Kluyveromyces lactis: one gene and its partners. The protein of the gene in region 3 purifies or fractionates together with the protein of the main gene of each other region. This does not show direct contact. Links are inferred from orthologs where the notes say so. Each region holds a gene or a part of one and is shown on either strand. Other genes may lie near its edges.

Evidence for each region. The genes of interacting proteins can lie anywhere in the genome.
Region 1: the proteins of CMR1 (region 3) and TOP2 purify together in Saccharomyces cerevisiae (affinity purification with mass spectrometry; 3 studies listed by BioGRID). This does not show direct contact. The link is inferred for Kluyveromyces lactis from reciprocal best matches to the Saccharomyces cerevisiae genes CMR1 and TOP2.
Region 2: the proteins of CMR1 (region 3) and CCT2 purify together in Saccharomyces cerevisiae (affinity purification with mass spectrometry; 3 studies listed by BioGRID, with this or other methods). This does not show direct contact. The link is inferred for Kluyveromyces lactis from reciprocal best matches to the Saccharomyces cerevisiae genes CMR1 and CCT2.

What each region holds. Positions count from the first base shown.
Region 1 is NC_006039.1:1,181,858-1,188,036, reverse strand, and holds the start of TOP2 (DNA topoisomerase 2), read right to left. Parts: upstream 3,504-6,179; coding exon 1-3,503. Other genes in the region: Rho family GTPase RHO2, read right to left, coding at 4,062-4,625; NST1 (Nst1p), read right to left, coding at 5,290-6,179. UniProt on the Saccharomyces cerevisiae protein: Control of topological states of DNA by transient breakage and subsequent rejoining of DNA strands. Topoisomerase II makes double-strand breaks. Essential during mitosis and meiosis for proper segregation of daughter chromosomes.
Region 2 is NC_006039.1:984,207-989,633, forward strand, and holds CCT2 (chaperonin-containing T-complex subunit CCT2), read right to left. Parts: upstream 2,794-5,427; coding exon 1,204-2,793; downstream 1-1,203. Other genes in the region: END3 (End3p), read left to right, coding at 1-1,053; RIM8 (Rim8p), read right to left, coding at 3,340-5,058. UniProt on the Saccharomyces cerevisiae protein: Molecular chaperone; assists the folding of proteins upon ATP hydrolysis. Known to play a role, in vitro, in the folding of actin and tubulin. In yeast may play a role in mitotic spindle formation.
Region 3 is NC_006039.1:1,447,625-1,453,023, forward strand, and holds CMR1 (Cmr1p), read right to left. Parts: upstream 2,781-5,399; coding exon 1,242-2,780; downstream 1-1,241. Other genes in the region: IAT4 (Iat4p), read left to right, coding at 1-703; DMO2 (Dmo2p), read left to right, coding at 3,049-3,372; mitogen-activated protein kinase kinase STE7, read right to left, coding at 3,557-5,071. UniProt on the Saccharomyces cerevisiae protein: DNA-binding protein that binds to both single- and double-stranded DNA. Binds preferentially to UV-damaged DNA in vitro. May be involved in DNA-metabolic processes.

The DNA of each region.
Region 1 (6,179 bases), about 270 kb from region 3:
TCGTCTAAATCAATTTCCCATAAATCTTTAGCAGAAAGTTTTAATAGCCGTTCCAATTCTGTTTGTTTCTCTTGCATTTGTTTCATTAACTTTTCATATCTTTCCTTTGTCAAAGCCCAGATTTTCATACCTAACAAATAGTCGTAATTACCAAATTTCTCTTCTGGTCCGTTTACAACATCTTCACTTTCTTCAGCGTTGTCTTCTGCTTCGCTTTTCTCTTCGTCATCATCATCATCATCTTCGTCATTCAATGCTTCTATTTGTGCTTGCTCCTCGACTTTACCGTAGGTTGGTTTTCCTTCTTTGTTGATTCTTGGGAAACCCAAGGACATTAATTCTTCGAAGAGGACTGGACGAGGTTTGTTACTGACTGATAACTTTTTCTCAACGATCATCATAATGAATTTAACTTGATATGATAGCTTTTCAACTTCCCACTTTAGCCTTTCACCAATATAATCTTTTCTCTTCTGATAATAGGTGAGTCGAGTATAATAAAAGTCAGACAAAATGTCACGAACATCATCGTATTTTTTAATCTTCCCCTGAGGATCGAATGCAACCATGTTGCTGAGACTTACCGTAGAAACCAATTTGAATCTTTCATAGAAACCTATTTTTCTCGTCTTCTCCATTTCATCGGAAGTCAAGGTGATAATAAACTTGATGGTGGCTCCATGCTGTTCTTGTATGTCTTTAATCCAAGGCTTAACCTTATCATTACCACTTAAACCCAATAGTAAATGCTCCTTGATGACGGAAGTCCAAGTCTTGGGAGGCAGTTCCGTTATTTCCAACGTATTTTCATCGATTTGTTCGATTCTACCATAAGTACGATACTTTTGTGGATCTATCTTCTCCAAGGATCCCTGCCATCCCCTGTACCATGGCGCCATCTGCTCCATTTCCTCTCCCTTCATCAGACGCTTCACATTATTGACAATATCCATTGGATTGAAAGGAGGAATATTAGTACTCCAACCCGTACCAATACCTTCAGTACCATTTACTAAAACCATTGGAATAACCGGTAAATACCATTCAGGTTCTACAGTCTGTTCATCATCTTGAATATAATTCAATAATGGATCGTCGAGAGTATTGAAAATTTTTCTCGTAAGTTTGTTTAGCTCCGTGAAGATATATCTTGGCGCAGCAGAATCTTTACCACCTGTTGCTCTTGTACCGAAGGCACCATTTGGTTTCAACAAGTAAATATTATTGGAACCAACAAAATCCTGAGCTAGACCGACAATAGTTTGATACAAAGATTGTTCACCATGATGATACCCTGTATGTTCTGAAACATAACCACCTAATTGAGCGACCTTGATTTCACTTTTCAAATTACGTTTGAAGCAGGCATAGATAACTTTCCTCTGACCAGGTTTCAAACCATCTAAAACAGAGGGAATAGATCTAATGTTGTCTGCTAGAGAGAAAAGAATTAATTCTTTATTGATAAAATCACTGATTGGAATCTCTGTTAGCTTTGGATCTAATACAGTACCAGGCTCATACAATTTTAGCCATTCTTTACGGTCGTCCGCCTTCTTTTTTGAAAATGCTAGATCAATTAATTGAGAATCATCACCTTGCAAGGCATGGAATTTCTTCAAGTGCTTATCTAAACCTGAAAAGTACTCACGTGCTTCCTGTTGTGTCGACGTACCCAAACCCTTGTAATACTTCTGTTTCCAAGTGTACTTGTGAGACTCTTCTTCTCTCCACTTTTCGTAATCTGGCATGTTATAGAAAGAAATGGTTTCTTTCTTGGGTCTTGAGATTGTGATTTTAATGATGGGTGTGATAAATTCTATTAAAAATCCTGGAATATCGAGAAGACCAGGGAAGGAACTCTCCAGGAAATTAATGATCAAACCTTTGATATGTGAACCATCGTGATCTTGATCCGTCATAATCATAATATGACCATATCTTAAAGTTGTAGTATCTTCGTACCGCTTCTTATGCTGCAACCCCATAATTTTTTTTATGGCTTGAATTTCCGCGTTCTTACTGATTTGATCAGGGGTCGCTTCCCTAACATTTAACATTTTACCTCTTAAGGGGAAACATCCATAATAATCTCTTCCAACGACAGCCAACCCAGCAACTGCAAGAGACAAGGCAGAATCACCTTCTGTTAGAACCAAAGTACATTTGTAACCTTCTTTTGTTCCAGCCATATTTGCATCTTCAAGTTTGGGGTACTCAGTAATTCTGTTCTTTCTTGAACCATCAGTTTTCTTCAATTGCTTATGAGCATTCTCATCGGCAATTTCAAAGATCTTCGTCGCAAGATCAGTCTTCATTATTTTATTGATGAATTCTGATGGGACTTCGCACTTGGAACCGAAATCCTTGACCCTTGTCGTTAATTGTTCTTTGGTTTGAGAAGTGAATGCAGGGTTCTCAATTAAGCAATTGATGAAAATAAACATGTTGTTCTTAATTTGGAAAGGTTTGATTGTCTTCTTTTGTTTCTTCAAGCGGTCAGATACTTTCTTTATAATTTGATCTGTAACATAGTTAACATGTGTACCACCTGATGTAGTGGCGATCGAATTAACAAATGATATTTGTTGAAATGAGTTTTCCGATACTGCAAATGCAACTTCCCAACGATCATTAATTCTTTCATATAAGATAGTTGGGATTTTAGTAGGCTCTTGCATTGGTTCATCTGGGGTACTCGACTCTCTAAGTCTATTTAATTTGATCTTCTCTAGTGATTTCAAGTATAACTCGACGTAGTTTTTGAAGTTACGAATCTTTAAAGCTTTACCATTCAATGAGACGTTCACATCACGTACGGAACCATTGATATCATAGACACGACGCCTCATAACACCAACTATATCATCGTCAAGTTTGTCCATCCCGAATCTTTGAAGATCTGGTTTGAATATGACCTTTGTATAAGATGGACCTTTCTTGTAAGACGTAATTTTAGGCGGATGACACGTAGACATGTTGTTTTCCCAATTTTGGATATATTTATGCCCTCTAGAAGGATCAGCGGTCTCTAGTATGAATTCTGTGGAAAAAATATTACAAAGCTTAGCACCGTAACCGTTTCTACCACCTGTAACTTTCTTCTCATCGTCATCGTAATTAGAGGATGTCAAAAGATGGCCAAAAATTAATTCAGGAATATAAATACCTTCCTTATCATGAATTTCAACGGGAATACCCTTACCATCATTCTTGACTTCAATAGTATTCTCCTCTTGATTAATGACAACATCAATCTTCTTCATACTAGGATCACGAACCTTGTTATCTGCAGCGTTAACCAAGATTTCATCGAAAATTTTGAAAAGACCAGGGACTATATTTACAGTTTTTTCAATCATACAATCGGTTGTTTCATCATGAATCCATTGTTGCGATTCCTGTACTTCAACAGAACCAATGTATGTATCTGGTCTCTTTAAAATATGCTCTAATTGCGATATCTTCTGATACCGTTCAGAGACGGTCTTTGACTGTGTCATTCTTAAATCAGCAACACGTCCAAAAAAGACACACCAGAAAAAACGCTCTCTTCACTAATCCTGAGCTCCAATGACAGCTAATGATTTAATCAGATTTTAGGAGAGTACTAGTCAGTATTGATAAAACAGACACAAGACCTGGTTCCCTACTCCTTCTGTCGCAAGATAGAAGTGTTCATTAGATCTCATCAAAAGCCTTAGATGTTTTTCCTGTTTTTATTTTTCTAGAATTAAAGTACGCGTAACAAAACGCACTAAGACCAAAAAACGTTTTGAAAGAGACTAGATGGCATATCTACAGCTGATATTAAAAAGTGACATAAATCAAAGAAGAATACTGCATATATATACTGAAGGCAGCAAAAAATTCGTTGACGAGATCCAATTTATTAATTATTATGCGAGGGGGCTAATTTAGAGTCGATTTCAATTTAGAAACATTGAATTAGCTGGATCAAACGAGACAAAGTGTCCGGCCTCGAGATACGGCAGAAAGAAGAATTAGATAGTATGTGTTGGTTTGTAGTTTATTTTTTATGTATGAGCACTTCTTTCGTATCAACATATTACGCAGCACCCGTGACCTGGTTGTTTATTTACCAAGAGACTTGTCCTTGTGGCTACTTCGAAAACATCATCAACGTTTTCTCCTGTCAATGCACTGCATTCCATATATTTTTTAGCACCAATGGCCCTGGCAACTTGCTCCGCTTGCTCCCGTGTTACCATCTGATGTTCATTATCCGGTGATCTTAAGTCTTTCTTCAACCCAACTAGTACTACTGGAGCTTCAGGGCAATATCTGAGAACTTCTTCTGACCATTTATTTCTTGCATTCACCAATGATTCCGGGTCGTCGATTGCAAAACCAATGAGAATTATATCGGCCTTTGAATACGAGAAGGGCCTTAGTCTTTCATATTCCTCTTGGCCAGCTGTGTCCCATAGTGTTAGTTGAACTTTGATACCGTCCACTCGACAGTCGGTTACATAATTCTCGAAGACAGTTGGATGATATTCTTCTGGAAACTGTCCCAAAGTGAAAACATATAACAAAGATGTTTTCCCACATGCTCCGTCACCAATAATAACTAGTTTCCTTTTAACTGGATTGGTAGACATATTTTATGATATTGCATAAGTTTTGCAGTGATACTGCGTCTTTCTTGATTATGTTGATAGCTAAAATTCAAAAACCGACAAAGTTTGGAAAACAGCGTAGTGTAAGATCGTGCCAGAACAGAGAACTGCTTCAAACTTTCAAGTACCCAATTGCAAATAGAAAATTAGGGTGGCACGTATACATGCAAATAAAGGAAGATTCGACCTTGTTTCCTTCGAGCGTACGCTATGTTTATTCTTCGAAATCAGTTTCTTATTTCTTTAAAACAGCAAACCTTCTATTTTTCTATCTTTCAAGTTTCATTTTTTCTAGCCTTTTTCAAAGAGCCTTTTATTTTTCGAAATGATATCATATTAATGTCTGTCATGTTCCGCCGAGCAGTAGAAGCCCGAAAAAGAAAGGAAGAAGTGATCAATGAGACAGTGTAATAGATAGGACTATGCTTAGTTATTAAAATTAATTATAGCCCTGTTTTTGAATGAGTTCAAATATTCAATGATGATCTATCAATTGATGGTGTCTGATTGAAAAAAAAAAGATAATAGTGTTGTTACATTTATATTGGACGTTACAGTTCTACGTAAAACGAAGAAGGAATAAATTTTAACGGATATGTTCTCTTTTCTATCCACTCGTTTAAATAATTTAGTTGGATCGGATGATTCAGCTCCAGATATTGCCGGTTTGATATGAGTTTGGATACGATTGACCAAAGTTCACGAAGTTCGAAGGATCTGATGCGATTGTTGACGTTGGGCCTGGAATTGGATTCCCGTGATTCGCTGGTGAAGTAGTAGCTGTTTGGTTGTAATGAACATCGTTAAATACCGATGATGGTTGAGGTAGCGGGTTCGATATAGGAGTTGAAACTGAGTTTATTTGCTGCGAATCTGACTGAACTTGAGTGGTTGCATGAGGGAAAGTATTTTGTCTATTATAAGAAGGCAATCCTGATGGTACTGGAACAGAACCCATTCTGCAGTACGCCAATAAACCCGTGTTATCATTCAAAAGTTCAGTATTGTATGAATTCTTCATGGAAACCAAAGTGGAAATGAATTGGGGATACGACAGTACTGATTTGGCATTAATTTGAGTCAATGATGTTTGATATAGCTTGTCCAAGGGAACGAAACTATTGTCTGGAGAAAGCATCTTATAGGTCTTGGCTAGGACTTCCTCATATGAGTCAACAGATGTTGCTGCAACTTGGGAAGATAGCAGGGTGTTCGGAAGTGCTGGAGTAGATGTAGGTGTATCCCAGATATTCGAAGCAAAATTGTTAGCAGAGGCAACACCAAAGGTATTTTCAGCTCCAGTATCCCAAATAGATCTTCTTGGTTGAGAGTGTGACGAGGAGATTGGGTTCTGTTGAACGTGCTGTTGACCAAAGTTTGAGAGCCTTTGATTTGGATCATTGTTCCAAAGATTTGGTTGGTTGTAAACAGCAGATTGCGGACGTGGTGCCATGTTAACAGGATCCAGATTTTGTGCCGGAATACTACTAGTTGAACCGAGTGAGATATCGTTAATTGTAGTATCTTTCAAGAAAC
Region 2 (5,427 bases), about 460 kb from region 3:
GTACTGCCTATCCTTTTCAATTCTAAATTGGACACCTCGATACTTAACAAAATATGGTTTTTGGCCGATATCGATGATGATGATCAACTAGATTTTGAAGAGTTTGTGATTTGTATGAGAATGATATTTGACATGGTTAATAAAAACATAGATTCTGTACCAGATGAATTGCCAGATTGGTTGATTCCCGGTTCAAAAGCCGAATTAGTCAAACAAAGAAAAACTGAACGTAGTAGCGGAACAGCAGAAACAAGTTCTGTGGTCAATGTTCCGACATCTTCGCCAGCTGTAGACGATTATCAAAAAGAAGTTGATTGGTATATATCAAGAGATGATAAGTCACAATACGAATCAATTTATGAATCAGCCATAACCTCTAGAGACAATAGTGTATCTTATGTTTCACTATCCTCCGCCGTTAGATCGAAGTATATCAATCTATCATCTCAAGATTTAGAAAAAACGTGGCGTTTGGTTAATCCTAAGCTTGACACTTCCATAGATAAGGATCCAGCACTATACTTTATTCATATTCTGAGACAAGTGAACGACTATGCTTGCCCAATACCATCACATTTACCTTCAGCATTGAAAGAAACTTTTACAAAGACTAGAGTTTCCACGGATTTGTCTTCCAAGCAGAGCGAAGTAAGAAGGCCAACACTATCCACATCTAACTCTTCATCTTACCAAATACCAAAACGTGGTGGTACTGATTTTTCTGTTACTCAGGGAACTGATTGGGAAGTAGTCAGACTTCAAAGGGAATTGGCAAATATTGACTCTGAATTATCGTCAGCACAGCAACAATCCACCTCTCATAATGACTCAAATGATAGAATGAAATTAGTAAAACAACAGTTAGAACAGTTCTTGGAATACCAAAAAAACCTTGTCAATAATTCCAATACTTCTTCAGAAAGCGTTGATGTTGGAGGTTTGAGGGATGATATAGAGAGTATTGAGCAGCAAGTACAAATGTTGGAGGAGTACCTGAAAACAAAGAAGTCGGAACTGCATAATTTGAAGATAGAGGTGCAATCTCTTTACTGAGGTTATTGACCTACCCTATATACTTTCTGGAGTAAATTTTGAACTACGTTGTTTCATGTATAATGATAATTCACTTCTTAGCTTAACTTTTTGGATATTAGAACGAAATTTAAACGTTTGTGGTGATTGCTTAGTACTAATTTAATTAATTTACATATGACCGTGCTGTCTATCGGCTGTTCTTGGTTTAGCCCTGATAATATTATCCACTCTCAAGAGGACTTCGGCTGCTTCGCTGGCTGAGGTTACTACAGCTCTTTTCAATTTATAACTTTCCACGATCCCTAGTTCTCTCATGTCAGCAATGGTGCCGTTATCCAAATCCAAACCTGATGTACTCATGCCGTTGTAAATCGAAGATCTTAACTTTGTGATCAATTCACTACTATCGAAACCAGCGTTGTCCGCAAGAATAGTAGGCAATTGTCTTAGGGCTTTTGCAAAAGATTCTACAGCAAGTGCTTTCTTACCTTCAACATTTTGCCCTACTGTGTCAACAGCTTTTGACATAATCATTTCGGCACAACCACCACCCAAAACAGTTCTGGTTTCTTTTGTTGTTTGTGAAAGGACAGATAAAGCATCATGTAGAGATCTTTCAGCTTCGTCTAATACTTGTTCGGTTGCACCTCTTAGTACAATAGTACAAGCTTCACCAGATTTACAACCACTGAACTTTGTGAAAGTTTCTTCACCGATTATGATTTCCTCGATGAGCTTACATTCACCAAGTTTACATTTTTCTGGATTGTCAAATGTCGAAACAACTTCACCACCAGTCACAAGTGCTAGTCGTTCCACACCTTCAAAATCAGCATGTTCAATGGAGTTAATTCCTAGATCTGTAAACATTTGTTCAGGGTAGTCGTATATCAACTGTCTGTTGATGAACGTGTTGATGTTGAAATTAGCAATCTTTTCAATCTTCTTTTTCATTTTTTCACGTTCAGCTTTCTCTAATTCTGCAAGCTTAGACGTAGAATCAACCTTGAACTTGGTACCAAAGATCTTGACCTTGTCAGTATCTAGAGAAGTGTTGGCAATCAAAATTTTAGCATTTTCCACGCGCTTTGGCTGGTTGCTACCAAATCTTTTTGGTAAGATAAATCCTTCATCTAAGAAAGAATCAGAAAGCTTACCACCAATGATCTTGATAATTTGAATATGTTCCAAATTGGTGGAACCCTTCAATCTGAGAATGGCATCTGTTGCCAATTTTGAGAAATGATCTTTATCTTGAGACAAAATTTTAGATGAAAGTGTCGTGTTTGCAATGCTGATCAAATCGTTGTAGAACTCTTCCTTATTATTCGAGTTATCCACAGCGGCCTTCTCCAATGCTGATAGAGCAGCCGCAGATGCAATTCTGAAACCTTCAATAATGGTTTGTGGGTGGATTTTTCCTTGTTCGACCAATTTCTCAGCCTCTCTCAATAGCTCAGCACTTAAAACTGTAACACTGGTAGTACCGTCACCAACTTCATCATCTTGGACTTTACTAATGTTCACAAGAACTTTAGCGGCGGGATTGTCCAATGGAATCGATTTAAGAATAGTAGCACCATCATTTGTTACCATGCTAGTGTTGTTAGATGCACTTTGAAGTAGCTTGTCCATACCTTTTGGTCCTAGAGTAGTTTTCACCAAATCACCTACAGCGATGGCACCGACAAAAGCACTCATACGAGCATTTTCAGCCCTTTCTTCGGTAACTTGATCCCCAAAAATCGGAACGCTCATTCTTACTTGATGTTTGGCGGACTGTTGCTAACTTTGTTGGAAGTAGAGGATGATCAAAAAGAATTGGCCACCGTGATATTTTATCTGGTATTCTGCAAACATACTTATTCCATCTTCATACAATTTAGTAGTTTTTTTTTTTCTGACGAAAAATCAACTACAGGCATATAACGTCACGTGAAAGGGAAATACCTGAAAACATCATAATTAACATTGCTTCTATCATCATTTCAGTCCGCAAATTTGGGGTAGACGATCTCATTGATAGCAACTCTCGGTAATTGCTGGGTCGAAAAATGACACCTGTAATGGCGTTTTATATACCAAACAAATAATTATTAATTGTGCATTGTTTAAACGGTATTACTAAATTCAACTTGGAAAGTCATTTTGAGTTCTTTAAATATTAAATGATCATTGATGCCAGAATATGTGTTCTCATTACTCGTTTCAGGCAAAGGGATCTCTTGTCGACGTATATTGATTAGGGTATGCATTATATCTTATATATAGTTTTATGAGATAACTTATTCATAACTGTTTTTATTATATGGGCGGTTCGCTTTCCAATTCTTTCAACCGCATTTGCTCTAGTTCTTGTTTATCATCTGTAACACCTGACATTGAACACCCAGTGAAGTCATCTAATCCACGACTATACAGTGGAACAGGGTCAGCCGGATAGCACAAAGTCATATCCGTATCCGTGAAGATACGAGAGGAAGGTGATGGCCCGTTATGTCTATGTAACAAATAGTCGTAAGCTTCGTCTATTGGAGATTCAGCGCTAGAGCATTGGTTGTAAACTGCATCCACATCATCAGGTAATTGGTTGATAGAATGGGAATCCAGACGGTCCACTGTGGGCGATTCAGGCTCATGTTCTTCTCTGTGTGTTCCGATCACAACTTCGATTGACATACCTGTAACGTTTCTTAGACGTTTGAGTCTGTCTACATTAATCAAATCTTGGAAAAACGTTACTGAATCATCTTCGCCAGCAGTAACCTCACCCTGGTTTGAGAGGTCTTGGAACATCGAAAACTTGTTCGACGGCATCGGTATACTACTAGTTCTCTGTCCACCCACAAGTCTATTGGACTCTGTGTATACCAAATTCTTCCTTGACAAATTTGCTAGGATCTCCACGTAATACTGGAAAGTGAAGAACTTATTCTTTAAATCCAAACTCGGGAAGGTGTCTAATGGAACCTTTAGTTTCAACATTATAACAGCTTCATGCGTTTCGGGGTCTGTATATAATGGGGCAACACCTTGACAGATATCTTTTCTAAATGTTTCGATCTGTTCTGTATTTCTAGGGTTTGAAACCCGAGAGATTCTGACCAACGTTGCAATCAACCCCGCAGGGTGGAAGTATTGTTTGTAATGAGTGACGTGGACTTTAACCGGAATTTCTTCTCCGATGGTGTATCCTAGACAGGGAATCTCTACCGAGATCTTGACAGTCTTGTTATCAGCGAGCATGGAAGCGTTGGAATTACCTGAATTATTTGAGCTTGATGAACCATTAGTGATAGTAGAGGATCCGCCTGTTTTCCTAGTCAGAGACGAAGCCCCGTCTTGTGGGTCTGCAGAACCTGCTGCCATAAGTCTTCTAACATGGATTCCATTATTGCTTGAGTTGGGTGATTGTAAGACCACCGTCTTGATATTTGGCTTTGGTAATTGGCCGACGTCTATTGGCACAATCAACTGGTAATGCTGCTTGCAAAAGATAGGAGGCGTCTTTTGGGCATGAAGCTCTGCTTGAACCCAATATCTTATGGAACCCTTCTTAAAATCTATCGAGCTCACCAAGTTCTTACCATTAATTTTACAAGAGAATGGAAACTTGTGTTCACCGCCAGTCAAGTGTAATGGATTCTCCTCACTACCATAAATACTCGTGGACCTGCAAAACACTGTATCAGAGTATTTCGATTTTAGAGAACCTGCGGTCATCGGGTTATTGGAATGGAGTTGAAACTCTCCTATATGAGCAAGTTTAATCCAAACATTAGGCACATCTTTTCTCAATCGAAGCTTCACAGTCCCACTGATAGTCTCGTTCGGTTTCCACACTCTGTGCACATCATCAAGTACAATTTCAAACTCCAAAATGTACGATTTCATACCGGAGTGCTTGAAAATGGAGCTCTTGCCAGCATTGCTCACTGAATCGAAGCTACTCACCACAAATGCACTAGGAGAACCTCGCTCAGCTCGTTCGTTCGACCGCAGAAGTTTATCAAATAATCCCATGGTCTAATTCGACTTTAAGCTCTTATATGGAGGCCAAAAATAAACGAAAGGAACACGAAAGAAAAATACAAGCCGGCACACAACCTAAGCACAATTATGTCTTCAAAAATCTAAAGCTCTCCCTTATCTTGTTTCACCCTTTGGACTCTATGTTCGTTTGGTTTATATATCCGTGATAGTAAATACTCGAAGATCCATGCTGTTATATAATGGCGCAGTGCAAGTTTTAGACTATTCTCTACTTTTTTTTTCTAAGCAAGAAAGCCATTAAAGAATGGAAATTTATTCAAAAATTAAGTTGAAGAATGAAAAAAAAATTGGTAATAGCTGAGTAACAAACCATAGCACACCCTCGAAACAGAAAAGAAA
Region 3 (5,399 bases):
TTCGCCCGGAGAAGAGGCTTCTTCGCAGATTAACAAAGAACGTCATTCTAGAACCGTGATTCCACTGAATCAAACGCATGATTTGGAGAAAGCAAGCAAATGTTTAGATAAAGCGTTTGCGGACTCTCCAGCTAACGATTATTTGATGAAGAAATTCTTCAACGTTCCCATCACCGACAAATGTAGTAAGGAAAGAGTCAACTCCATGTTGAAATATTTCTTGCATCTTTACGATGATTTCGGTGCAGAAGTTGTTGAAGCGAACAATTTTGACGCAGTCGCCGTTTGGACTACTCCGAAGACTCATTTCCATCAAAGTGAAACCAATGATCCAAAGTTCAATGACGTTTTCTTCACTCAGTTAGGTCGCAGAACAAAGGAGTTGTTACCACCAGGCATTGGTTATTACTATTTGTTCATCATTGGTAAGGATCTTACTCATCCTGAAATCAGAGGCTCCGTTAGAGCCATATTTGATTCATACAAGAAGAGGGCAGATGAAGAGAATTGTGCTATGGTCTTAGAAGCCATATCTGATAAGGCTAAATCTGTTTACGAGTATTTCGGATTCAGAAATTATTTGGACTTCTACTTCGGTCAAAACGAGGTCGATTCCAAGGGTAATTATGATCCTAACGGTGAAGGTTTCAAAGGACACTTGATGATCTATTATAAGGATGAGATCCCAGGTGCCCTACCATGAACCGTCATATTTGTCGATCAGGTATACCTACTTCTTTGCCTTACCCTTTCTCTTATCGCGTTTCATCGCTCTTTTACAAACAAAAAATGAGACTCTTGATTCTGATAACATGATTTACATTCTAAATGCATTCGTGCAGTCTCAACTAAAGAGCTCTTTTTTTTGATAGAATCCCCTTTAGCATAGCATTACCCCCTCATTCTCTCATATGGATGTTATTACGATTCGAAGTTTTTTTCCTGTCAACTGGGTTATTGTTGACTCATTTACTTCAATAGTATCTTTGATTTCACTATCATATTATTGAAGTAATAGCTTATCAACGAGCTGATATCCTATTTCTTTTCAACTACGATTAAAACAGAACAAATTATACGAATAACTCCTAACACTAACTCGTTTTTCCTCGCTTTAGAAAGAACGATATTTAGCATTAGTTATTATCAATGATAATTAAACTCAAAATATATACACTCAAAAACGTACAAGTAGCTTTTCATCGTTACTGTCCTTTTATATCTTCTGATTCCGTTGATCATTAAGTGAACAAGAAGGCTTTACCGCTTGAATTTCCGCCAACTACCCAATTCTGTGTCGGATGCCAGCTGATAACTGCTGGAACGGTTGCTGTCGGTAGATGGGCAAGTTGAACACCTGAGCTAGTATATATATCAATTGCTCTTTTCATGTTGGCAATAGCAAAAACGTCCATGTTAAGCTTGAATCTTGCCTTCAATATACTTGTCCATCTTCCAGTTTGACAATTATGTTTTAATGTTAGTTTTGGTTGAAGATCTTCCGGAAGTGTTCCACTGACATCAAATAATCTAATTGTGTCATCGTATCCATTGCAAACTAATGTTTCATCCATCGGAGAATATGATACTGCGGAGACACTTAATCTAGAATCATATGTAGCAACAATTTCATGGGATGCGAAGTCTTCGTATTGTGACCACTCTGGTTTATTGACAATTTTTCTTGTATCCCATATTTTAAGTGTTCTATCTAATGATCCGGTCGCTATTTCATAGGGCCGCTTAGGGTTTATGCTGAAGGAACCGATTTTTTTGTCTGACAATCTTTTCAAATTAATTTCTGTTGGTTTGGTACGAACGTCAAACGTAGTGAATTCGCCGCTCAATGTCGTCATGAATAAGACGTTCGGATCATTATAGTTGAATTGAAAATCACTTATCCCTAATGGATCATCATACTCATTCTTTAACACTAGTATTTCTTCACTGTTCATATCTTGTAGATTAATTGATCTTAAATATCCATCGTATGAGGCTGCTAGTAACCTACTGCTATCCGTGGCGTATGTGTCAATTCTTCCTACATTTTTGGTAAATAATTTCACTTTAGTAATATCAGGCTCCTCTAATTCATCCTCAGGTTGAGTTTCACGAACGTTCCACAAACCAACATTACCAGCCGTGTCACCACAAATCACAAGTTTCTTGTCAACTGATGGATGGAAAAAAGTCGCAGAAATACGTTCTGCAGTTAATTTGATTTCATTGGGTTGAAATATATCATATAGTTTTAGATCAAAATCTTCTTGTAGTTGTTTTATTTCAGGTGTTGGAACCTGTTGTTGCTGTAACTCTTTGAAGAAATCACCAGAAGAGAAATTTTTGTTAGCAAAGCTCTTAAATTTATCTAGCAATTCTTCCTCATTCTCAGATTTAATCAAATCACTTAGTTTTACATCTCCAGATAGTGCTGTGTTCTTTAACTCGTCAATTGCTTCTAATTCAGGAGTACTATCACTTTGACCCATTTTCAGCAGCTGATTGTCATTGACATTGGGAATACCGTTTCCATCAACATTTTCACCTCTGAGTCTTCTGGACCTTCTAGTTGGAATTGCAGCTGGTTTGGGTTCTTTTTTGACAGCCTTCTTAGCGCTACCTGCCTTTTTCTTACGTTTTCTATCTAGATGCTCATCTTCAACGCCAGCTTCGCGTTTAATCTGTGAAGAGACGTTATTCAAATTCAATTTCTTTAATAGATCATTATTTCTTTTGATATTCTCCAGTCGCTTCTTCTGAAATTCAGTCAATTCTCCCATTGCTGAACGCGGTTTGGGCACCTTTGATTACCTTTGGTCATTTTCAATGACTTATCCTTTAATCAAAACGCGTGTATGGGCTAAATCTTTTGATGTCTGATTGCAATTTCGTTTTGCAATATTGAAATCCATGAGATACGATGACATGACTTTTCAACAAAGAAGAACTAGATAATCATACTACTGAGCTTTCACTTTCACAGGTAGCTGATAAGAACCGGATATCCTATATCATTCTCGGACTATAGCTACAGTCATAGAAATCAATATGTCGAGTAATATCACAAGTTTATTTAATCCACCAGCACAAAGGGATCTAACAGATGAAGAGACAAGAGATTGTATTCCATGTCAAATAATGGCAACCGCATTCTCATTGGGATTTGGTGGGTATCTAGCCAGCGGTAAACCGTTCCAATACGGTGAAGCTGAAAAGAAGAAAGGTGTAACCGTTGAACAGTTCGCAAAACTGAATCCAAAATGGTGGGTATCTTCAGCAAGATTATTCGGTGGAGCCTTGATTGCCTTCGGAATATATAGAGGAACGGAAGGATGGTTATGGAATAAAGAGAAAAAGTATAAGGTTTGGTAATAGTTTTTCGATTTAGTGACATTAGTGAATATTTCCGATTCTATATGAAAGTCCTAAATAAGTTGTATATAAATTCTTTATGCTACTGATCCATAGTCCGTTCCTGTAATAATGATCGTTATTGAGATGAGATGCAAACTAGGACATCAATTTATCCTAATATAGTGCAATTTCTTAATTTATTTCATCGCCTTGTACTCGAAGACCTTGCGGCTGTAACAGCCAACGCTGCTTTCTCTAATTGTCTTTTTTCGATCTTACTTCTCTCTGTCTCTTCTCTTCTTATCATCTTATCCTCTTTGATCCGCTTCTTCACTTTTTTGCACCAATGCCTGAATTCTTTTGCAATAGTGTCTCTGTTGTTATACTTACAGATGAAATCATGACATATCAATTCTTTCAAAGATGATCGTCCTCTCTCCTCCTTAATGCAACACCTGTTCACGAAATCTGTCATTTCTATGGAGTAATGTTCATTTTTTGACAGTTTTGGAGCAGGTTCATTGACAATTCTCTGTAAAAGATCAAGAATCCCTTCTGGTGTGTCGTGATGTCCACCTAGTGGGAACTCACCACTACTGAGCTCGATGATCATAAGACCTAATGACCACACATCACCTTTAGTAGTATATCTGCCACCTTGGATACGTTCAGGTGACATGTAAGTGGAGGTTCCGACAAAGGTATCCGCAAGAGAGTTAATTAGAGTAGTAGAGACACCAAAATCGCAGATCTTTACGTCTCCCTTCGAGTTTATCAATATATTGGACGGTTTGATGTCCCTGTGAATGATTTTATAGCAGTCATAAAGATAGATAAGTCCATTTAAAACACAAAAGGAGATCCTTGAGAGAGGCATTTCGTTGAACCACGATGTCTTGCACGATATAGAAACGTTTTTCCTATGGCAATCAGATCTGTAAACTGACAAAATCTTATCTAACGAGCCACAATCCATATATTCCATAAGAATCACTATTTCGTTAGTGGTGGATGGATTGTAAAATGCACCGTAGAAACCAACAATGTTATCATGGGCTGAAACATTTTTCATGATGGTTAGTTCTCTAACAAGTTGATTTTTCAGCACTTCCTTATTCTCTACTGGTATAGTTTTCTTAGCTATGATTCTAGAATCAGGTACATGCAAAGTCTTCACCACAGTACCCGAATTTCCCGCTCCAATCTTGCTCAATCGTACAAGGTTTTCGAGTTGAATTCCGTTCTCTGGGGTTAAAGAAAGTCGAGCAATCTGAGTAGTCAATGTGGCCGTTTCATCTGTCTCCTGTTGCATCATACTGACTCCTGTAGGAGTAAGTGACATTGGAGCATCTCTTGTGGTTGGTGTAGTCCCGCTGACAATGGAAGATATATCTGATGTACTAGAACTCCCTTGAAGGAATGAAACCGTCTGGAATGAAGTGTCTCTGCTAATTGGACTTATTTCCTCACGGACCGGAAGCTTCTCCAACATCAAACTGAGTGTTGGACCATTTCCATTACTAAAACCTTTCGGTATTTCGTCAGGAGAGGAAGATGATGATGAACATGATGATTCTAGAGTCAAATGCTTCAAATTCTTCCGTTTCAAAGTCTTCGGTTTGAACAAACTATTGCACGATCCCTCTGCACTATCATTCGACGGTTCATGGTTTATTCGATTCAATAACATCGAGCCGTTTTGGGTACGTGTAATCATATGCTTTTAAGTCAATCTGACCTCAATGTTCACCACTTTCTGCGCCTCTTCTCTTTGGAGATATTAAAGTTTTACGATCAATAATAGATATTAATACCAAAGCCAAACTTACAGGCTCAGATGATTGTAAAATGAGACAAAAATTAAAATGCAACTAGAAACCCTAATAGAAAGACCCCACCAGGTTCCAAAAAACAACACACGTTGGCTCTTTGCAACACTCCTTGCTGCCTCAGTAATCGTCTCTTTCTTCTTCTGAGTTACTGCTTAGCCTTGTATAGGCTTTCTTTATCATTACTTAATTATTACGCTACTTTTTATTTATACG